Linked DNA regions of Macaca fascicularis. The protein of the gene in region 1 purifies or fractionates together with the protein of each later gene. This does not show direct contact. Links are inferred from orthologs where the notes say so. Each region holds a gene or a part of one and is shown in the gene's direction. Other genes may lie near its edges. The genes, in order: ING4, BRD1, MEAF6, KAT7, JADE3 and JADE1.

What was found.
Region 2: the proteins of ING4 (region 1) and BRD1 purify together in Homo sapiens (affinity purification with mass spectrometry; 5 studies listed by BioGRID and IntAct, with this or other methods). This does not show direct contact. The link is inferred for Macaca fascicularis from reciprocal best matches to the Homo sapiens genes ING4 and BRD1.
Region 3: the proteins of ING4 (region 1) and MEAF6 purify together in Homo sapiens (affinity purification with mass spectrometry; 5 studies listed by BioGRID and IntAct, counting the BioPlex papers as one, with this or other methods). This does not show direct contact. The link is inferred for Macaca fascicularis from reciprocal best matches to the Homo sapiens genes ING4 and MEAF6.
Region 4: the proteins of ING4 (region 1) and KAT7 purify together in Homo sapiens (affinity purification with western blotting; 6 studies listed by BioGRID and IntAct, with this or other methods). This does not show direct contact. The link is inferred for Macaca fascicularis from reciprocal best matches to the Homo sapiens genes ING4 and KAT7.
Region 5: the proteins of ING4 (region 1) and JADE3 purify together in Homo sapiens (affinity purification with mass spectrometry; 3 studies listed by BioGRID and IntAct, with this or other methods). This does not show direct contact. The link is inferred for Macaca fascicularis from reciprocal best matches to the Homo sapiens genes ING4 and JADE3.
Region 6: the proteins of ING4 (region 1) and JADE1 purify together in Homo sapiens (affinity purification with mass spectrometry; 4 studies listed by BioGRID and IntAct, with this or other methods). This does not show direct contact. The link is inferred for Macaca fascicularis from reciprocal best matches to the Homo sapiens genes ING4 and JADE1.

The regions. Positions count from the first base shown.
Region 1 is NC_088385.1:7,574,393-7,578,433, reverse strand, and holds the end of ING4 (inhibitor of growth protein 4), read left to right. Parts: intron 1-733; coding exon 734-900; intron 901-1,079; coding exon 1,080-1,194; intron 1,195-1,357; coding exon 1,358-1,466; intron 1,467-1,709; coding exon 1,710-1,857; intron 1,858-2,737; coding exon 2,738-2,799; intron 2,800-2,882; coding exon 2,883-2,922; 3' UTR 2,923-3,541; downstream 3,542-4,041.
Region 2 is NC_088384.1:1,729,638-1,733,791, forward strand, and holds the start of BRD1 (bromodomain-containing protein 1), read left to right. Parts: upstream 1-1,354; 5' UTR 1,355-1,707; intron 1,708-1,805; exon of another isoform or gene 1,806-3,467; intron 3,468-4,154. UniProt on the Homo sapiens protein: Scaffold subunit of various histone acetyltransferase (HAT) complexes, such as the MOZ/MORF and HBO1 complexes, that acts as a regulator of hematopoiesis.
Region 3 is NC_088375.1:197,413,481-197,417,606, forward strand, and holds the start of MEAF6 (chromatin modification-related protein MEAF6), read left to right. Parts: upstream 1-1,326; 5' UTR 1,327-1,334; coding exon 1,335-1,424; intron 1,425-2,521; coding exon 2,522-2,637; intron 2,638-4,126.
Region 4 is NC_088390.1:56,883,167-56,885,372, reverse strand, and holds part of KAT7 (histone acetyltransferase KAT7), read left to right. Parts: intron 1-817; coding exon 818-964; intron 965-1,508; coding exon 1,509-1,615; intron 1,616-2,206. UniProt on the Homo sapiens protein: Catalytic subunit of histone acetyltransferase HBO1 complexes, which specifically mediate acetylation of histone H3 at 'Lys-14' (H3K14ac), thereby regulating various processes, such as gene transcription, protein ubiquitination, immune regulation, stem cell pluripotent and self-renewal maintenance and embryonic development.
Region 5 is NC_088395.1:47,145,887-47,149,386, forward strand, and holds part of JADE3 (protein Jade-3), read left to right. Parts: coding exon 1-191; intron 192-3,500. UniProt on the Homo sapiens protein: Scaffold subunit of some HBO1 complexes, which have a histone H4 acetyltransferase activity.
Region 6 is NC_088379.1:133,880,415-133,883,914, forward strand, and holds part of JADE1 (protein Jade-1), read left to right. Parts: intron 1-2,728; coding exon 2,729-2,846; intron 2,847-3,500.

The DNA.
Region 1 (4,041 bases):
TTGGGAGGCTGAGGCAGGCAGATTGCTTGAGTCCAGGAGTTCGAGACCAGACTGGGTAATGTGGAGAAACCCTGTCTCTACAAAAAAATAGAAAAAATTAGCCAGGCGTGGTGGTGCCTGAGATGGGAGGATCACCAGAGCTCAGGAAGTTGAGGCTGCAGTGAGCCATGATCATGCCACCACACTCCAGCCTGGGCGACAGAGTGAGACCCTGTGTCAAAAAGAAAAAATACTAATAATTTTAAAATGTAGGATATTAAAAAAAATAAAATAAAATGTAGGATATTGATATACAGACTTGGAAACCAGCAACAGCAGATGACTCAGCCTGATTTGCGGCAGACAGAACTGCTGTGGGATGTTTTTGAGAAGGAAACAATGGCTTTTGAGACAAAATTCAAGAAGCAGCAAGCCCTTCAAAGAAGCATCTTCAAACATGGACAAAAATATACTTCGTATTAATGTGGTGTGCAAAGGATCCCTTGCTGTGTTTCAATAATTTAAATTCCCACTATGATAGCAATGTTTTCAGCACCTTGAACGGACCTTTAAGGCAAATATTATCAGTATGTTCCATTACTTGAGTGCATGGCACAGTACCTCTGAACATGCAGTACTTTTTAGTGGGAAGGTGATGCTAGTCGATGGAAAAGGTGCAAAGAACAAGAGGAAGAAATGTGTTTCACCTAGCCACCCAGGGGCCATTGTGACCAGGCCTCTGTCTCTGTTGTAGACCTGAAGGCTGAAATTGACAAGTTGGCCACTGAGTATATGAGTAGCGCCCGCAGCCTGAGCTCCGAGGAAAAATTGGCCCTTCTCAAACAGATCCAGGAAGCCTATGGCAAGTGCAAGGAATTTGGTGACGACAAGGTGCAGCTTGCCATGCAGACCTATGAGATGGTATGGCCCTGTTCATGGCTCCCCACCTACCTCCCATCTAATCCTCAGGGTCTTAGACCCTTCCTTCAACTATGCTGGGATCTGTTTGGGGTCTGTGAGATCCATAAACTCTGCCTTAACCTATTTTCTTTAATTGGAGATAGTTTTGTACCTCTCCTTTCTCCTTCCTTTCCACCCAGGTGGACAAACACATTCGGCGGCTGGACACAGACCTGGCCCGTTTTGAGGCTGATCTCAAGGAGAAACAGATTGAGTCAAGTGACTATGACAGCTCTTCCAGCAAAGGCAAAAAGAGTGAGGAGGGGGGCGGGGCTGTGAGAGGTGGGGCGAGGATTCAAAGGGAGAAGTCAGCTCTTCATCTGGTGGGAAGTGGAGCACCAGGTTGGAAAGGGGGAGAGAAGAGGACTTAACCCATCTTTCCGTCTCCCTGCCTTCTGGCTTTCCTCCTCTTCCCTAGAAGGCCGGACTCAAAAGGAGAAGAAAGCTGCTCGTGCTCGTTCCAAAGGGAAAAACTCAGATGAAGAAGCCCCCAAGACTGCCCAGAAGAAGTTAAAGCTCGTGCGCACGTGAGTGTATCAGGGAGCCCTTTGCTAGATGACATCCTCTTCTCTCCCGGTGCCCCACTCCCAGCCTGCACCGCCCCCTGCCGTTTTCTGTATCTCTGCGCCAAGAACTCTTCTTACCGTTTTGGTATCTGCTGGAGAAGCCACAAATCGTTTGCCCTACCAGGATCTCCTGCCACCTCCGAAAGCCTCAGGCTTTAGCTTCCCTTTCTGCAGATGACACTTTCTCTTCCTCTTGGCATGCAGAAGTCCTGAGTATGGGATGCCCTCAGTGACCTTTGGCAGTGTCCACCCCTCTGATGTGTTGGATATGCCTGTGGATCCCAACGAACCCACCTATTGCCTTTGTCACCAGGTCTCCTATGGAGAGATGATTGGCTGTGACAACCCTGATGTGAGAAACATTTTGCCTCAGGATGGGGGGTTGTGAGGGGCATGAAGGGAGTGGGTACGAGAGGAAAAATCCCACAGCTGAGTACTGGGACTTCAGGATAGAAGAAAGATGGGCTGGGCGTGGTAGCTCTTGCCTGAAATCCCAGCACTTTGGGAGGCTGAGGCAGGCGATCACGTGAGGTCAGGAGTTTGAGACCACCCTGGCCAACGTAGTGAAACCCCTTCTCTAACTAAAAATAGAAAAATTAGCTGAGCATGGTGGCACACGGCTGTAATCCCAGCTACTTGGGAGGCTGAGGCAAGACGCAGGAAAATTGCTTGAACCTGGGAGGCACGGGTTGCAGTGAGCTGAGATCCGGCCACTGCACTCCAGCCTGGGCGACAGAGCAAGACTCTGTCTCAAAAAAAAAAAAAAAACCTGAAAGCCTGGTGCGGTGGCTCATGCCTGTAATCCCAGCACGTTGGGAGGCCAAGGTGAACAGATCACTTAAGATCAGGAGTTCGAAACCAGCCTGGCCAACACAGTGAAACCCCGTCTCTACTAAAAATACAAAAATTAGCCAGGCATGGTAGCATGTGCCTGTAATCTCAGCTGCTCGGGAGGCTGAGGCAGGAGAATCGCTTGAACTCGGGAGGCAGAGGTTGCGGTGAGCTGAGATCATGTCATTGCATTCCAGCCTGGGCAACAGAGTGAGACTCTGTCTCAAAAAGAAAAAAAGAATAGAAGGAAAATGGTTGGAACTGGTTGGCCTTGGGACTTCCAAGAATTCTCCAAAAGGATGGAGTAAAGGACAGGATGTTCCTAAGGAATCTGGAGGGGCTTTCTCTCCTTCCTCTGGCCCATCCCGGCCCCTAACTACTACTACTTTCTTCCTCTCCAGTGTTCCATTGAGTGGTTCCACTTTGCCTGTGTGGGGCTGACGACCAAGCCTCGGGGGAAATGGTAAGTGGCAGGAGTGGGAGGGTCCCTAAGTTGAGTGGTCGAGGGCGTTCTCCTTTCACTCACTTTTCTCTCCCCTTCTCCAGGTTTTGCCCACGCTGCTCCCAAGAACGGAAGAAGAAATAGATAAGGGCCTTGGATTCCAACACAGTTTCTTCCACATCCCCTGACTTGGGCTAGTGGGCAGAGGAATGCCTGCGCTGGGGCCAGGGGTTCAGGGAGAAGTGGATGGCACAGTACTGTCATCCCTTCTCCTCCCCTCTCCCTACTCCCGGTGCTGAGGCTGCATCAAACCCTGGTAGGGAGGGGTGCCGCAGCCACTGACGGTATGTGCTCTCCTTCAGTCCTCTCCCTTCGGAGGGACGTGGTCTTGCCCACTGTCCTTTTGCCTCCATGCTGAGGTTGGTGCTGTATTTCAGAGGGAGGGTCCTTTTCATTCCCCTTGCTTTGTATTTAAGGACTGGGGCATAGCATGGGGGCAGTCCCCCAGACCTCTTCATTCCCCCTCCTCCTGTGGTGAGGGCTAGGTGTGATCAACACTTTTCTTCTCCATTCCCTTCCTGCTTTTTTCATGGTGGGGGATCCACCAGGTCATCTAGGCTCTGGCCCTAGTTGAAGGGGCACCCCTTCCTCTGTGCCAAGAGGATTCATCCTGGCCTTGTGAATGGGAGAGGGGGCAAGGTGGAATGCAGATAACTCACATGTAAAAGGAACTTGGGTAGGTAAATAAAAGCTATACATGTTGGCCTGCTGTGTTTATTGCTGTTTTAGTAAATGTGCTGAGCATTTTTTTTGCATCCTCTGGGTTGGATACGATGTGAGAGGATGGCATTCCAGAATTAGGACACCACATGAAACCAGAGTGGCGCCTCTGTCCGAGAACCCACAAGTTCTCAACTTGGGAAAGACAGAGGTGCTGGAGGGTGGGCCTCAGACCAGGGGTCTCCAAAACTTTGTAAATTGTGCATCTTTTCTCCATAAAACATCTTTCACTTAATTTCCAATAAATGATGTATTTGTGCTATACATGTGTACTGCTATACTATACATTAGCTTGACTTCTTTTTTTTTTTCTTTGATGCAAAGTCTCACTCTGTCGCCAGCCTGGAGTGCAGTGGCGTGATCTCGGCTCACTGCAGTCTCCGCCTGCCGCGTTCAAGTGATTCTCCTGCCTCAACCTCCTGAGTAGCTAGGATTATAGGCATGTGCCACCACATCTGGCTAATTTTTGTATTTTTAGTAGAG
Region 2 (4,154 bases), on another chromosome or scaffold:
GGCTGGGGTCCTACCTGCCCTCAAGTCTTCACATCACAACCCACGCACGGTGCCATGGGCATGAGGGCTGGCCAGGAAAAGGCCTGTGGGGCTTTGCCCCATCAGGGACACCTGGGTGAACAAAGCCACCCCACTCCCAATAAGGTGTTTGATGCAGTGCCCTGAGCAGTGGGGCCGCTCTGCTGCCCCATGGGGAAGGTCTGTCCCAGGGTGGACAGCTGCTCCGCCCGAGGGGCCTGCCTAGATGCCACAGGCTGGGCTGCTGGAACCCAGGGATTCCACAGCACCATCGTCCTGATCACAGATTCTCAAGGAAACCAAGGAGCTCCTGCCTCACCTTAAAACATTTTGGGACTTAATCTTGGAGTGAAAATTGTTATGACCCCACTGAATTTTAGAGTTTACACAAAAGGCCAAAGCGAAGGCAGAGACTCAGGCCTCTCAACTCGCGCCCGCAGGGGCCTTTTCTTGCAACCTCAAAGGGCATCTGCTTCACGCCGGACTGGGCAGGGCCCTCACACTGGCAGGACTACTTGCACACCTGGCCTGACACTCACTAGGGGAGGCTCCCCAGCCCGGCTGCACCACCTTCCCCTACTTAGTCGGGTGCCCCGGCCAGTGCCCCTTCCACTTCCACCCAGTGGGCCCACAGGGTCCCCTCTGCCCACTTAGGGCCCTCCACTCTGGGGCCAATCGCCCCCTGCCTCAGGGCCCCCCACTCCTGGGCCAATCGCCCTGCCTCAGGGCCATCCATTCCTGGCCGGTCCCCCCTGTCAGGACCCCGGACTCCCGGCTGCTCCCCCCTCCGCCCTCGAGGGCCCCCCCACTCCAGGGCCAATGCCCTTCTGCCTCAGGGACCCCCACTCCCGGCCGGTACCCCCACCTCTGGGTCCCCCACTCCCGGCCGGTCCCCCGGCCTCAGGGTCCCCCATTCCCGGACGGTGGTACCCCCTGCCTCAGGGTCCCCCACTCCCGGGCCGTCCCCCCGCCTCAGCGACCCCACCCCGGGCCAATGCCCTTCTGCCTCAGGGCCCCCGACTCCCGGCTGCTCCCCAACTGCCTCGGGTCCCCCACTCCTAGGCCTGTCCCCCTGCCTCAGGGCCCCTCATTCTCCATCCTCCTGACCTCCTCAGGGACCCTCTGGCCCGGTCCTCCCTAACTCAAGGGCCCCCACTCTCCATCCTCCCGACCCCCCACTCCCAGCCCGGTCCCTGCCGCCTCAGGGTCCCCACTTGGCCCCAGCTCCTCGCGACGCCCCCTCCCCCGCGCGCCGCTGAGGCGGCGGAGTCCGCGCGTCATGGCGGCGGCGGGCGGGGCGCGTCTCGCACGCAGCGCGCCGGGCGGAGCGCTCGCCGCATTGTTTGCTTCGCTGGGGAGCGAGCGAGCGACCCGGCCCTGGCGTCCGAGCCAGCCCCGCGTCCCGCGCCCGCCGCCCGCCGCCCGCGCCCGCCGGCCGGGCCCCCCGAGCCGGGCCTCCAGCCGGGCCCCGAGCCCGCGCCGCGCGAGCCGCCGCCCGAGAGTCCGCGGCCGCCGCTGCCGGGCCCGGAGCCGCCGCGGCCGAGAGGAGCCCGCGCCCAGGAGCGGCGGCGGGGCCCGGCCTGCGCGGCCGTTGGCGGAGGAGCCGCGGGCGCCATTAGCGCCGCCTCGGCCGCGCCGGCCCCCGCGCCCGCCCGCTTGCCGGGCTCCCGCGGCCGCGGCGCCCCGAAGGTGAGTGGGCGGAGGCCTGGCCGTGGAGGCCTCCCCGCCGCCTCGCGGGCCGCCCGGGCCTCCCGGGCCGCCGCCTCCGCCTCGGCCCGGCCTCTCGGGGTTGTGGTGCCGACGCCATGTTTGGCGGCGGCGGCGGCGGCGGCTCCGCATTGTCCGCGGACCGGGAGCCCGGGATGCCGGGGAGGCCGGGCGGGGAGACCGGGGAGTTCGGGCCGGGCGGCCGGGGAGACAGGCAGGGAGCCTGGGAGGCCGGGCGGGGAGACCGGGGAGGTCAGGCCGGGGAGTCGAGGGAGGCCGAGTCGGGCTATGGGTCTCGGCGGCCTGGGCCGCGGCGCCCGCCCGGAGTCCGCGCTCGAGTCGGGTCGGGCCTCGGGCAGCCGCCGAGCCGGCCGGGCCGCCCCTTATGTAACAGACAGGCCGGCCGAGCTCTGCCCAGACGGGAACTCCCTGTGAGCAGGGACGCGCCCCGAGATCGCCCAGGAGCCGCGCGGCCTGCGGCGGCCGGGCTGGAGAACCGGCGCCGCCGCCTCCCCGGGCGTTTGCAGGGAGACGCCTCGCGACGAACGCGAGGCTTCCCCGGGCCTTTTAAACGAGTGACACGATTGAAGCGCAGTTCACGGGAAACGCGGCTGTTGTGAGCGGACGCGGGAGTTCTGAGAATCCTCAGCAGCAGGAGCCCCTGCCCCGCGGGGTGCGGGCCCGTCCCCCAGAAAGCGCGGCCGTCCGGGTCTGTTTTTGAGGGTCGGTCGCCAGGTGGTTGTGTAGTTAGTGGAATCGGCGGAGGTTTTTGTTTGCCTGGCCCAGCGCCGTCCCGAGTGCCGTGTGCTTCACACAACTTCGCACAGCTCAGCGGCCGCGGCTCCCGTGGCCTTTAGGGAGCGGCCCGGCGCGTGGTCGGCTTCTCCCTGGGCGGGCGGTGGGAAGAGGGAAGCGGCCGTCTTGTGGGCAGCAGCCTTCCCTGCTTTTGGCCCGCAGAGCTCTTCAGGATGTACTTAAGGGAATTATTCCTTGAGAAGCGACGTGTGTGCCTCCGCGGATCCCTCCCCGTGGAAATGCGTGTCCCAGCACGGACAGAACCGGCCCAGGGGGGAAGCGGGGAAGCAGGGAAGGGCGTGGGTCGCCCTGCGCTGCCGAGGGTCTACTCTCCCCGGGTCCCAGTTCCGTGTTGAGAGCTGCTGTGGCCGTGAAGCCTTCGGTTCAGTTCTCCCCCTTGTAGAAAGTGTTGAGATGAAGAGCTTCGCGGCTCCCTGGGAGAGAGTGGGTTTCCGGGGGCTGCTTGTCGTTAGGGCGACTCAGGACTTTGCTGTCGAGGGAAAATTACAGGTTCGTTTCTGATCTGGTGAGTAACCAACTGTTGCTTCTGCCCCACCTCAGTAATGACGCGTGTCGCCGTCCCGGGTGCACTAGGGTAGCTCTCTGCAGGCTGTGGTGTCACCTCTGCAGGGCTCCCAGGGCCGGCTGGGCTGTACTGACAGCTCTCCAGGAATCCAGGGTTGAGTGGGTACCTGGAGGCCCTAGAAATGCAAGGGGGCTGAGGTTTGGCTGACCACATTTTCTCTCCTGTCCTCTCTGTAGGTAATTGCAATCTAGTTTCAACATACAATGAGGATTTCTGTCTGATACAGGGAAAGATACACGGTGGCTGGAGGGTCTGTCTTAAGAAGTGCCCTTGAAGTCGGCTGGGATTTCCTTTCGGGACTCACAGAGGGAAGCCTGCTCCCTGAGGGCTTTTTCTGAGGCCCAGTAGATCTAGGCCCAGGGTGAGGCTCTGAAGCCAGGCTGCTGCGGGTGCCCCTGCTCCCCCTGGGCCCCGAGGCCAGGCGTCCCTGACCTTGCAGGGCTAGATGCAGAGTGGGCCTTGGGCTTCAGCTGAGAATATTTGTTTTGCGAGTCAGTCACTGAAAAATCATTTTGCTTCCTGTCAGTGAAGTGTGGCGCTTTGGAGGGAGGCACTGCCCGGCGGGTGGTGGTCTTCACTGGAGGTGCCCACACACGAGGCACCCCGGGGACAGCTGGGAACAGACACAGTCCGTGGTGTTCGAACAGCAGAGGCCTCTGCCACAAGGAGCTGGAGGTATGGGTGGCAGCTCACTGATTTTGCCCATCTCTGGAACGGCAAATTCTCCTAAATCTCTGTGACCAAGTCTTCAGGCACCTGAGCCAGCGCTGGCAACCCTCCTGGTGAGGGTCTCTGCAAGCTTCTAGGGGGTCCTGGGGGCCGCCCCTCGCTGTGTAGCCTGAGCAGAGTGTCTACCTTCACGTGTGCCGGGGAGAACAGAGAGATGCCCTTTGGTGTATTGCACGTATCCGGATTCGCTCGGAAAGGAGGAGGACATGGCCAGCACCATTGTCTCACTGGGGCTTGAGGAGTGCCCCTGAGGGGAAGCGGCAGGTTGACTCGGCCTGTGGGTGTTTCCATGGTGGTCACTGTCAAGGCTCTGCAGAAG
Region 3 (4,126 bases), on another chromosome or scaffold:
TTATCTATGTAAAAAATTCCAAGGAATCTATACAAAACCCCCCTAAAATTAGTAAGGAAGTTCAGCAAGATGGCAGGTTACAAGATCCGCACACGAAACCAGTTATTCAGAATGCAGCACAGAGGGACAAAAAGATAGAAAATATAGACGGTAGGTTAAAAATAAAGGTTTCTTATGTTCGAGTTCCAGAAAGAGAGAGAATATGAGACAGGCATCTGAAGAAAAATGACTGCGATTTCCCAAAACTGGTGGAAGATACCAACCCACAGATTATAGAAATCCAAAGACTTCCAAGCAAGAAACAAAACAAAAAGAAAAAATATCCCACTTAGACTTATGATAGCGAAATTGCAGAAGAGTGAAAGATGGAGAGCTGAGGAGGGAGAAATCAACAGGGGCCAAGTGAAAACAACGTCTACACCTTGGACTTAACGATAAAAGCGAATTCGTACTTGCAGAGTCATTGGCACCTGCCAAACCCCTTACACACATTAGCTGATTTACTCCTCACAGCAACTGTATTAAGTAGATTCTATCACTGCTTTCATTTTACAGATGAGGGAGTTGAGATTTGGTTATTTACCCAAAGGGGCACACTTTATCGATGTAGCGATAGGATTTTGAACAAGGTAGTTCTCGCTCCAGTTTTGTGCCCTTAACCACTACACATACTTGTTTCTCCAAAGGGCAATGGGAAAATGGGAAGCCACTGAAAGGCTTTAAACAGGGGAGTGATAACATTTGTTTCTGGAAGATTCCGGCACCACTGTGGATAGTGGATTAAATGGGGCTAAAGGTGGAAATAAAGAAGCTGTTGGAATAACGTAGCCCCAAACAGGGAGGGCCTGAATGAACTAAGAAGGTGGCAAAAGGCGCAGGCACAAGCAAATGGATTCGCGAGCTCTTCCGGAGTCGAATCCACAGGGCTTGACCTGGTATCGCGTTTTACTCCGGGTGCAGAGTGAGGAAAACCGGGTTTCTGACGCAGGCAATTGCGGTGGATAGTGAAAGTCATTCACTGAAGTGGACTGAGGCGGGACGCACAGGAGACTCGGAGGCCTGAGGACGAGCTAGGCTTTGGACACGGTAGATTTGTGCCGTCTGTAAAGCCCGCGGCCAGCCGAGGGGCAGGAAACGGCGTAAAGGGCAGAGCAGAAGCCGACTCTCTGGACCTCTCCGAGAAGGATCGTCCAGAGTCCCGGCCGCAGAGCACCTCTGCGCGGCGCTGCACGCGTCTCCGGAAGCCGCGCGCGCAGGCGCAGTGCGGGGGGCGCCCCCTGGCGGCGCAGGGACCGCCCCCAACCTCGCGCCGCCGCCGCCCGCCTCAGCCCAACATGGCGATGCACAACAAGGCGGCGCCGCCGCAGATCCCGGACACCCGGCGGGAGCTGGCGGAGCTCGTGAAGCGGAAGCAGGAGTTGGCGGTGAGGGGCTAGGACCGGGGTTGCCCGGCATGGGGCTCCGCGCCCGCCCCGCCTCCAGGCCCCAAGCCCGGCTGCGCCAGGCCGTTCGTTACTCCGGGGGCGCGGCGCGGCGGGCTGTGTGCTCGGCGGCCTGAGGCCGGGTGCGCATTCTGCGGCCCGCCGGCGGTTCAGCTTCCCGGCTGTGCGAATCCGGAGCCGGGAGGGAGCTGGGAGCGCGGGAGGGGGAGGGGCAGCGGCAGCCGCAGGAGGGGGCGTGGAGGGAGGACGGTGCCGGGGCTCGGGACTCGGGGAGAGGGCGCTAGGAAGGGCGAGGCGGGCGAGTCCGTGATCTTTGCGGGGTGGGGGTGGGGTAGGAGGCTAGTGTGGGAGGGGGACCGAGTCACCCTGTCTGGACTTTGGAGGATGGTGGGGAGCGTGTTCTTTTTGGTACTAGTAGTAGATCCGTTGAATGGAGGCTTTTGATAGACAGGGTTGTGATGTGTTTGGGAATATCTAGAAGGTGACAGGCGAGGGAGAAGAACACATTCTGGAGAATTCGGAATTGTGACAGGCACCCAAGGCCCAATGCACCCTGGTGGCTAAGCTCTTCCTGCCCTCACGTCTCGGCTTGGGCACCCCGGAGGCCCCTCTCACCTGAAGCTGCCCTTCCAGGTTTCCATAGCAACTGGCAGCCCGGTGCCGGCGGCCTCTCTGAGCCTGCGGGGAGGGGAGCGAGTTGACGCTGAAAGGCTGCTCACCCTTCCCTCTCCTGGTAGCGATACCTTTTGTGCGTGGGAGTGGATATCGCACAAGTTCTGCGTTAGCCTGGGTTCTTGACTCCTGGTTTCCGTGAATCCTCTAAAGTATATGCAAAATTTCGCGTGTGTGTGTATTTTTCTGGGGACATGCTTTATACATTCAGAGGTCCATCACACCCAAAGGTCTAGACTGTCTTAGTCCTAAACGGCTGCTCCTCCCCATATCATCCATCTCTCCACAGGGTGATTTAGTGTGGACAAGCTTGCGTTTACAAATCTAATATCAGGATTTCATTTTGGTCAGACTTAAGTGTTTGCATTTAAAAGGCATTATTCATGTCCTTGTTTTTCATCTCTCAGGAAACACTGGCAAACTTGGAGCGACAGATCTATGCTTTTGAGGGAAGCTACCTGGAAGACACTCAGATGTATGGCAATATTATTCGTGGCTGGGATCGGTATCTGACCAACCAAAAGTGAGTGTCGAAAGCCTGTAGTGTTCCTATTGTGTTCCTATTGTGTGTGTTTGTAGGACTGTAGGCTCTTAGTAGCAAGTTTGCTAGAGGCAGTAGTAAAGTGGTGGTGTGGTCTGGACTTGAACTCTTGGACTCTGGCTCAGGCACTGCCTCACTGAATAATCTTAGACAAAGCTCACGTCTGTAAAATAGCAAAAGTTGGGCCTTTGGCACAGGGTTGTGTGAGGCTTAAATACAGCATATAACAATATCTTTATACAACATCACTCTATTAAATTTTTTACACATTTTAATCAGTCGTGAGTTCTACCCTCACAGTATTTTTCTTTTCTTTTTTTCTTTTTCCTCCTGAGTAGCTGGGATTACAGGCGCATGCCACCATGGCTGGCTAATTTTTTTATTTTTAGTAGAGACGAGGTTTCTCCATGTTGGCCCAGCTGGTCTTGAACTCCTGACCTCAGGTGATCTGCTGCCTTGGCCTCCCAAAGTGCTGGGATTATAGGTGTGAGCCACCATGCCTGGCCACTTTTCTTTTTTCTAAGAGACAGGGTCTCATGCTGTTGTCCAGGCTGGAGTGCAGTAGCACAATCTTAGCTCACTGCAGCCTCAAACTCCCGGGCTGAAATGATCCTCCCACCTCAGCCTCTCAATTAGCTGGGACTACAGGCACACAATACTGCACCTGACTAATTAAAAACATTTTTTTTTTTTTGTAGAAGTGGGGTCTCACTTTGTTGCCCAGGCAGGCCTGGAACTCCTGGTTTCAAGCAGTCCTCCTGCCTCAGGTTCTCAAAGTGTTGGAATTAAAGGGGTGAGCCACCACGCCCAACTGACCCTCACAATTTTTGCCATACCTGTGTGCCAGCTGTACCACTGCTTGCTTAGTAATATTTTTAAAAAATTTCTAAACTTTTGGATTATCTTCAAGTTATAGAAAAATGGGAAGAATAGTATATGAACACTTGATACTGTCCTACCTGTATTCAGATTGTTAATGTGTTGTGACATTTGCTTTCTCTTACTCTCTATAATATTAATATAAGCACACACCTGTATTTACATTTCACGTTTTTAAATTGTGAAATAATTATAGATTCATAGGGAGTTGGCAGAATGGTCTTTTGTAGTCTTCATCTAGTTTTCCCCAATAGGTGTGTTGTTTTTTTTTTTTTTTTTTTTTTTTTTTTTTTTTTTTTTTTGAGACGGAGTCTCACGCTGTTGCCCAGGCTGGAGTGCAGTGGCGCGATCTCGGCTCACTGCAAGCTCCGCCTCCCGGGTTCCCGCCATTCTCCTGCCTCAGCCTCCTGAGTAGCTGGGACTACAGGCGCCCGCCACCGCGCCTGGCTAATTTTTTGTATTTTTAGTAGAGACGGGGTTTCACTGTGGTCTCGATCTCCTGACCTTGTGATCCGCCCGCCTCGGCCTCCCAAAGTGCTGGGATTACAGGCTTGAGCCACCGCGCCCGGCCAATAGGTGTGTTTTATATAAC
Region 4 (2,206 bases), on another chromosome or scaffold:
ACACACACCTATAGAGAACCATTGTTATCAAAATGATTAATAGTGAAGCCTTCCGGAGTTCTTTTTTTTTTGTTTGTTTGTTTTTTTTTTTGAGACGGAGTCTCGCTCTGTCGCCCGGGCTGGAGTGCAGTGGCCGGATCTCAGCTCACTGCAAGCTCCGCCTCCAGGGTTCCCGCCATTCTCCTGCCTCAGCCTCCCGAGTAGCTGGGACTACAGGCGCCCGCCACCTTGCCCGGCTAGTTTTTTTTTGTAGTTTTTAGTAGAGACGGGGTTTCACTGTGTTAGCCAGGATGGTCTCGATCTCCTGACCTCGTGATCCGCCTGTCTCGGCCTCCCAAAGTGCTGGGATTACAGGCTTGAGCCACCGCGCCCGGCCCCGGAGTTCTTTTAGTGCCTATTACAGTAGTGCCCTCCTTATCCGCCATTTCACTTTCTGCAGTTTCAATTACCTGTAGTCAACTGCGGTCCAAAAATAGGTGAGTACAGTACAATAAGATATTTTGAGAGACAGACAACCTTCACATAACTTTTGTTACAGTATATTGTTATAATTGTTCTGTTTTACTATTACTGTCTTCCTGTTCCTAATTTATAAGTTAAACTATAGCATAGGTATGTGTTGATAGGAAAATACATAGCATATATAGGATTTGGTACTATCCACAGTTTTGGGCCTCCACTGAGAGTCTTGGAACACATTCCCTGGAATGAGAGGGGACTGTGCTTCTTAAACCTTCTTGCATGTTGGCACACTGTTTTTTGCTATTCGGGTAAGATCTAGTGCTGCTAGAAAAAGTTTGTATTTGTTCCCTGGCAGGTTATTTGCTTTCCAAAGTCGAAGAAAAAGTTGGCTCCCCAGAACGTCCACTCTCAGATCTGGGGCTTATAAGCTATCGCAGTTACTGGAAAGAAGTACTTCTCCGCTACCTGCATAATTTCCAAGGCAAAGAGATTTCTATCAAAGGTTGGTTTTTGACTCCTTGGAATGGTTGATTGTTGCCCAAGAAGTTAACTCTAGTGGGTATTGTGTTTCCCCTAAATATGAGAAAGGAAGGCCAACTGAAAATGGACCACTGCAGAGACCCTCACTAAAGTTGCCTAGGAATCCAAAGCATTTGGCCCCTGGGAATGGTTATTAATTGGCTTCTCAAATCCAGAGTTGCTAACACTAATTCTTGTAAAAGTCAAGAAGAAAAACTTCAGGTCTTTTGGTTCATCTCTCTGAGAAAGACATCTCTGTGTATTTATGCAGGGGTGGAACAATTTAGTTTGGTCTATATTTGACCCTGATTTCTAAGGGGCCAAGAATAGCTTCTTGCTGTAATATCCTTCTGTAGTTATTTGGACTGGTCAAATGAATACTTTGTAAACTCCTTCTAAACAGATTGGGTTGAGTACAGAAGATTCTGTCCATTTGGATTTCCTTTAAGGGAAAGTAGACCTTGGTTGGGGGCAAAGGGGTGGGAACCTGCACTTTGGTCAGGTTGTCAGTAGATCTTCTGTTTCAGAAATCAGTCAGGAGACGGCTGTGAATCCTGTAGACATTGTCAGCACTCTACAAGCCCTTCAGATGCTCAAGTACTGGAAGGGAAAACACCTCGTTTTAAAGAGACAGGTAAGGTTTTCATCAGCAGCTTGCTCATTGTTGGATGTTCTTCAAGGCTTAGCAGAGCAAAGTAGGGGCCTTACGACTCAAGAGAACCTTCCCTTAAAGGAGTTTGGCTACATGCCCCTTTTCCTGGGTCTCGTTTCTGTAGCTGGCAGTGATGCCCGCATTGCCTTATCCGTATCAGAAGGTTTTGGTAAGCTCCTGTCTCAAATTTGGATGACACAAGTTAAGCAGCTCCAGTTAAGCAGCTTTATGTTGTACAGCACTTCTGTCATTTGATGATTTTCTTACATGGGAGGAAATTGCCCATCTGTAGAGGAATCTTCACAAATGCTGTCTCAACTCATACTCACTTCTAATTTTTAAAATTGTTTCACACATACAATAAAGGTAGGTGAGCGATGATTTTCATTTCTCACTGAGGGTAAAGTAGGAAGAATGGATTAGATAGAAAAGTCGTTTGTAAGTCAAAAGATAGTATTTTTTTATACCCTAATATGTTGTTAAACCTTTGGCAATTCCTTCTTGGTGGTTAGTTATTTTGGAATCTATGTAAAGGCATTTGAGTTGAAAGTATATAATCCTTTTTCCCATTGT
Region 5 (3,500 bases), on another chromosome or scaffold:
ATCTTATGGAAAAGACAGTAGAAGTCCTGGAACGCCATTGCCATGAAAATATGAACCATGCTATTGAGACAGAGGAAGGGCTAGGCATAGAGTATGATGAAGATGTGATCTGTGATGTGTGCCGGTCTCCAGACAGTGAAGAAGGGAATGATATGGTGTTCTGTGATAAGTGTAACGTCTGTGTGCATCAGGTTAGTGAGAGTGGAGACCATCACCTCCCTACGGTCAGCCTTTCTCAAGCTCAGTGATGATCTCCAGCACCCATATCTGGGTAGCGGCTTGCATTTAAGGGTGAAAATAAAGATTTGGCCTGGTTGTTCTTCAGTATTTCCTCTAGAAACAATACTTCTTATGACCACCAAGATGACTTGCTGACTAACTTTACCCCATGGGGCTAAACCCAGGTCTTTATTGTGTCACTTTGTGCCCAGACCATTGGGATTGCCTTGTTCAGTTCTCCCCTAGGCCCCTGCCCCAGGGGGATCTCATTGCTGCCTGTCTGAGGTCTCTCCTCTGCCTTCAAATCTCCATGGCCTCATGAGGTTACACCCGTGGTCAGTAACCTTGGTGAGTTTACACTTCCTACAGATAGAAGTCCAGACTCCTTATCCTGGCACTCAAGACCCTCCCCCATCCCCTAAACATGCCACTCCTAAGAAGGTCCACCCCACTTTTAAAGATCACAGAATTTTAGGACTGCAAAAGACTGTGTAACTCTTCAATCTTACATAATACCAGGAGAGGTGAAGTAACTTTACCCAAGCTGGTTATTTGTCATTCTTTCTACTACACTGCCTTTTTAATTAATAATGATTATGATATCAACCCTCCTCTCAGCTCTTTCCATTTTTTCCCCCACAAGCACTATGCTCCAACAAAGTAAGGTTACTCAAGGTGCAGTGATGAATATTCCTGACACTGTCCTATCTCCCATGTTTCAGCTGCACTCCAATTTGTAAATGCCTCCTCCTATCTCCCAGCTATCAAAAATCTACATATTTTTCAAGGTCTAGTTCAGATCCTTTCTTGAACTCCCTTGCCCTAAGTGGTTTTTCATTCTTCTGAACCTGTTTATATTTCATTCATTTTGTTAATTTATCTAGCAAATAGGTACAGTACTCCATGGGCCAGGATTGTGCTGCATGCTGAGGACACACTCAGTGATGAAGAGAGGCAGACATGGTCTCTGCCCCCAGGGAGATCATAGTCTGGTGTAAGAAATATAGGGAAACTGCCAGTTTAGCATCATGTGCCAAGTGTTTTTATATATATAAGTCCAAGCTGCTGTGGAAGTGCATCTGTGAGAAATGATGGTCAGGGACAACTTCCAAGAGGTGGCATCCAAGCTAAATCTTAATGTCCAAAAGGAGATGTCAAGTAAACCAGCAATGTGTGTTCAGGCAGAGAGGAGAAATGTTCATACAGGGTAGTGAAAGCAGGCAAAGTATGTCAGAGGCAACTGAAGGCTTCAGAAACTATAAAGTGGCAGAGCAGAGTAGGGAAGGCATGGAGAGTGAGGGTGGAGAGGGATACAAGAGACGTGTGTAAAGGACCTTCTGACAAACTAAGGAACTTCAGTTCTGTCCTGTCAACCCTGGAGGATGTGATTTGTATTTTAGAAAGATCATTCTGGCTATAAAATGACTAAAATAATTAGAATAGATAACATAGCAGATAGAAACCAGGGCTTAAGATTATTTTAATTCCCTGTGCCACCTAACCTAACCACCCTGTATGTAAAAGGTACTCACAATTATTATGTGACCAATTGGGTCTTTTTCTTCATTTACCTTTAACAAAGTAAATTTTGAAAATTTGTCTTCACTTTACCAATTATTGGCATTTATATCAGACTTTAAGTGACAGCAGAAAATGTTTACCACTTAACTATGAACTTAAGTATTATATCTCACGATACAAGCCCACAGTCCCTTCTTTGCAATTCCAAAATTATAAAGTTCTGAAAACCACACGTTTTTGCTGAAGTTTCACACCAGAACTGATTTGAGGACAATACCAGAACCCACCCAGTATGAGGCCATTTGTAGTCCTTATCCATTTTATGTAAATACTCATATATTTTGTTAGAGAACTATTAATGTGTTTGGTTATATGGTATTGCCCCTGGTCCCACTGGGGGCTTAGGCCATATACTATATATATACTTTCTTAAGATCTGAGCGGCCGGGCGCGGTGGCTCAAGCCTGTAATCCCAGCACTTTGGGAGGCCGAGACGGGCGGATCACGAGGTCAAAAGATCGAGACCATCCTGGCTAACACGGTGAAACCCCGTCTCTACTAAAAAATACAAAAACTAGCCCGGCGAGGTGGCGGGCGCCTGTAGTCCCAGCTACTCGGGAGACTGAGGGAGGAGAATGGCGTAAACCCGGGAGGCGGAGCTTGCAGTGAGCTGAGATCCGGCCACTGCACTCCAGCCTGGGCGACAGAGCGAGACTCCGTCTCAAAAAAAAATAAAAAAATAAAAAAAAATTTAAAAAAAAAAAAAAAAGATCTGAGCAATTCTGAATTTCCTAATTTTTCTTACCCTAGAGGTTTCAGATAAATGATTGTGGATCTGTAGTAGGCTTAAAAGGAATAGCATAAAGGTCATCTGTATATATTTCCTATGTTTGTCCTTTACAGTTGGGACAAAATAGTAAGTATTCTCAGGTTCTTTAACAAAATCAAATGTAGCGTAATTATCTCCAATGCTATTTATTAGTCTTGAAAACGATTCCGGTAATGACTATAAATGATGCCCCTTTCTCACATAGAAAGAGATGAGATGACAATAACTGACAAGACCTTGCAGAATGTAAACTGGTATGTATTAAAGCTGGGACATTGGTACCCTATAAAGTTTCACATAAGAGATTCTTCCAAAGTAAGTATATTTACTTGGATTCTAAAGAGATACTTAGCTTAGAGCTCCCTCTGTTGGCTGAAAAGTGACTTAAAATGCTTTGGAAGCTTTGGTTTACTCCCTAACAGAATGGGGACATGTTGACATCTGAATTTATTAAACATGATTTTTCTTCTTTACTGACACCATATTACATTTCAGTGTTTGTTCTTCAGTGACAAAAATACACTTATAGTCAGTACTTTAGAAGAGATGTGTACATAAGTAGCCTTTAGATTTTAACAATGAATTTACCATTTTTTCTTTAAAAAATGTGAAAGTTGGGCCAGGCACAGTGGCTCATGCCTGTAATCCCAGCACTTTGGAAGGCCAAGGCGGGTGGATCACGAGGTCAGGAGTTCGATACCAGCCTGGCCAATGTAGTGAAACCCCGTCTCTATACAAAAATTAGCTGGGTGTGGTGGCACGCACCTGTAGTCCCAGCTGCTCGGGAGGCTGAGGCAGGAGAATTGCTTGAACCCAGGAGGCAGACATTGCAGTGAGCCAAGATTGCGCCACTGCACTCCAGCCTGGGTGACAGAGTGAGACTCCATCTCAAAAAACAATGTGAAAGTTAGGGCCATTCCAAGTCCTTTTA
Region 6 (3,500 bases), on another chromosome or scaffold:
CAGTGGAATGGTCACCTTTGAAAATCTGGTAGTGTCTACAGTGTCCCCTGAAAAAAAGGCACGTTGAACTTTAGTGCTGCAAACAGTTTTGAATTCAAGAAGGCACACTGAAACCACTTTTGGATTTCTTAGAGCAGTGGTCCTCAGGGTGTTGTGTCTGACCCGGAAACTTAGGAATGCAAAGTCATGGGCCCCACCTCCAGAGGGTGGTTCTGTTTTGTGGGTACCCCATGTCCCGTTTAGGGACACTGCTCTAGGGGAAAGTGATGATCAGGTTTAAGGTGGTGTGAGAGTGTACCTGGAGATGGTTTAAATGGTTTTTTTCAGATACCTCCTTGCAGGCAGTTGGGAGAAGAGAAAGCAGGGTAGGGAGCTTGGTGCAGCGGGTGCAGTGGGTGCAGGAAGGGACAAGTTGGGTGTGTTTTGAGGATGGGAGAGCATCAGTCCAGCTCTGCAGGTGGAGGTTGCTGAGCGTTGTCCTACCGGGAGCATAAGGGAAGTCAGGTTTAGAGTCCTCACTACTATAAAGTGGAGTTAGGCTGGTTTGTTCCAATTGAAAACCATGCCCTTTGCTTTTTGGGTTTACATTTAGATATTTCCCATCAGAGATCATGAGGAATAGGAGTGGGATTTTTCTATGTAGCAGCCATGGTTTGGTCAAAGCTACCAAAATTAAATTTGAATAATATACAAAGTTCAAATTCCCTGGCTTCCCTGTTTTCCATTTTCAAGGATAATTTCAAGTAAGAGAGATATAAGTGTCTCTGTTACACATCTGATTTGAATATGAGAGCAACCTGTCTGCTCCTAAGATGTCAGAATTTGTTTCCATTTTTTATTTCCAGGAGTGAGATTCCTTGTTAATGTAAAAACGGTTGTTTCCTAGAAGTTTTGAATCTGCTATGGATCTAGGTCTGGCCCCTCTTTCTTGAGCTTCACTCTTAATCTCCCCTGGGTAGAACAATATTATCAAAGAGAGTAGTCTGTTAACCACTTCCATTCGCAAGTTGGTGAAAATTTCTATAAAGGACACTGCTTCTTGGATTGAGGGTGTGCAACTGTCAGAAAACAAAAGAGACTACCTTAACTAGGCTGATTGACATCCGTGTAATATTTACTATGAGACAGGGAGAGTGTTTTTATTCTCAATTCTTTAATTTTAAAATAATTAAGACAGGAAATGTTAGTGACATAAGGGATTGATACAGAAAAAAAGACGGGAAGATCCTGAAAGTGAATTGGTTAGGGGCAGGAGAAGCCTGACTTGGCATTTTCCTGTTGAGGCCAGGAGATTTTACTGTGATGCAAATGGGAAAGCCTGTGTTCGGTCTCTCTTAATGCTTCATGTCCTTTTGCAAATGAGACTGCCTTTAGCACAAGTGGAATTGTTAGGGTTTAGTCTACACTTAGACTACACCAGAGTGCAAAATCTTTTGTGTCTTCACAAGGCTTGTTGATGCTTGTTGATGTCCTCAATGCCAAAAGAAAAGGTTGGTGACCTTTGGACTTTTTTCACTTAAACTAGGGTGATACTACTTTATTGAGTTTATGGGGAAAAATTTTAAAGGTGGCAGGGGAAAAGTTTGCTCATAATGGGATTTTTTAGGAAAGTGAAGGCCAGCCTGTAGGAGCTAATGGGAAAGATGTGGTCAGATAAAGACATGCAACCACTCCTGCCAGTGAGATTACTTAGGAAGTCTTGTCTACATATTCCTGAAGAAGGGTTTAATTGTGTATTTGGTGTGCTGTGTCTGACATCTGTGTTTTCAGGCCCATGTAATCTAATCAGGTTGACCAATAGATTTTAGGACTGAAGGATTAAGGGAGTTTAGAGACTAATTCTTTAAATTTTGTATATTGAGTGATGACAGGTGGGGAACAAATCTGAATGTTGATTACTGAGCATACGTTAGGGTTATGTGATCCAAAGCAGTCGCACATCAGATAGGAAGTAGAGCCAACTCTCAGCACTGAGTCTTTTCAGTTACAAGTGAATCAGGAGAGGGCAATACCAGTTTTTCAAGTGATGATACGAAGAACTGGACTGGAGATGTCTAACCAGCACATCATTGGCAAAGCTGGAAATTTCCTAGGCATTTGCACACCTCATAGCAACACATAAACTACCTGCTAACTCCAGGCCTTTCAGTGAGTTCAGTGTGCAGTTGACAAAGACATTCACTAGGATTCTTGGTAACCATTTGGTCTTCCAGTGGGCCTGGTGCAGGGGGCTCCACTTTGATGACCCTTGGCCCCATGTTGACCTAGTTCAGCCTTCAGAAGATAGTTGATAAAGTGCAGCGGAAGTGGCTTCTGAGCTGCTTTAAAGCCATTGGCCATCCAAGTAATAGAAGATATTGATGCAATAATAATCAAAGACTGGCAAGAGGTTGCAAGTTTTGACTTGGACACGAATGGCCTCTGTGCCAGGATGGGTTAGGTGTGGTGGAGGAGGCAGGACTTTTGTACCAGTTCTCTAGGTGTCCCTCCCACTCCTGTGGGTCCCTGACCCTCTTCAGTGTTGCTGCTGCCTATATTCAGGGGTATATGTGGAATCCTTACCAAAATGAGATTAAAGATTGGATGAAATGTTTAAAGTACATATTGATTTCAAGTATCTGTCAAGGCCCTAGTAGGAGTAATTTCTCTTAGGTAAAGAAATTTAAAAAGCACCAAAGTACTGTTATACTGTATTGCTTACTTAGAATCTTTATTCTCTACATTCTAGGTTCGGAACCTCACTTACATGGTGACCCGCAGGGAAAAGATTAAACGGTCTGTGTGCAAAGTCCAGGAACAGATATTCAATCTTTACACTAAGCTTTTGGAGCAAGAAAGAGTTTCAGGTATGCATTAAGCCCTGGTAGGTCAAAGTATAGGGCAGGAGTTTGTAAGCTTTAACACTGTTGAGGAAGAAATAATGATTTCTTAATTTTCTTATAGAAGAATTTAAGAAGCATAGACGTTCATATTTAAAGGCAGTCTTTAATTTGAGGCATCATGTTTAAGGGAAAAAGCTATGAATTTGCCCTCTATAAATATGGGCAGAATCCTATGTTCTCTGCTTACTGAGCAAACACATGAAAGCCTTTGAGTCTCCCCAATTTCTTCATGTGCAAAATGGGGATATCTCAAGCTACCTCTTGGAATTGAGAGACTAAAATGAAACAGTGACTTATAGATGACACAGTACTTGGTAAACACATCATGGGGGTACCTAACAGGTTTATATTCAGCCATGGGTTCTATCTGTAACATGGTAAATATGGTAAATATCTCTTAAGACTGTACTTAACACAGTTCATTTTTAGATAATGTTTACAGTAGGCTTTTTTGGTGCAGATGGGTTGTTGAATATTTCTGAGATTGCGCACCAAATATTTATTTAGTGTCTTCTATTTTATATTGCCCTGGGCTAGGCAAACAGACAAAGAAAACTAGGGTATATACTTCCTCTACTCTGGAGAACATATCAGTTACTTGGAGATCAAGGGCAAAGA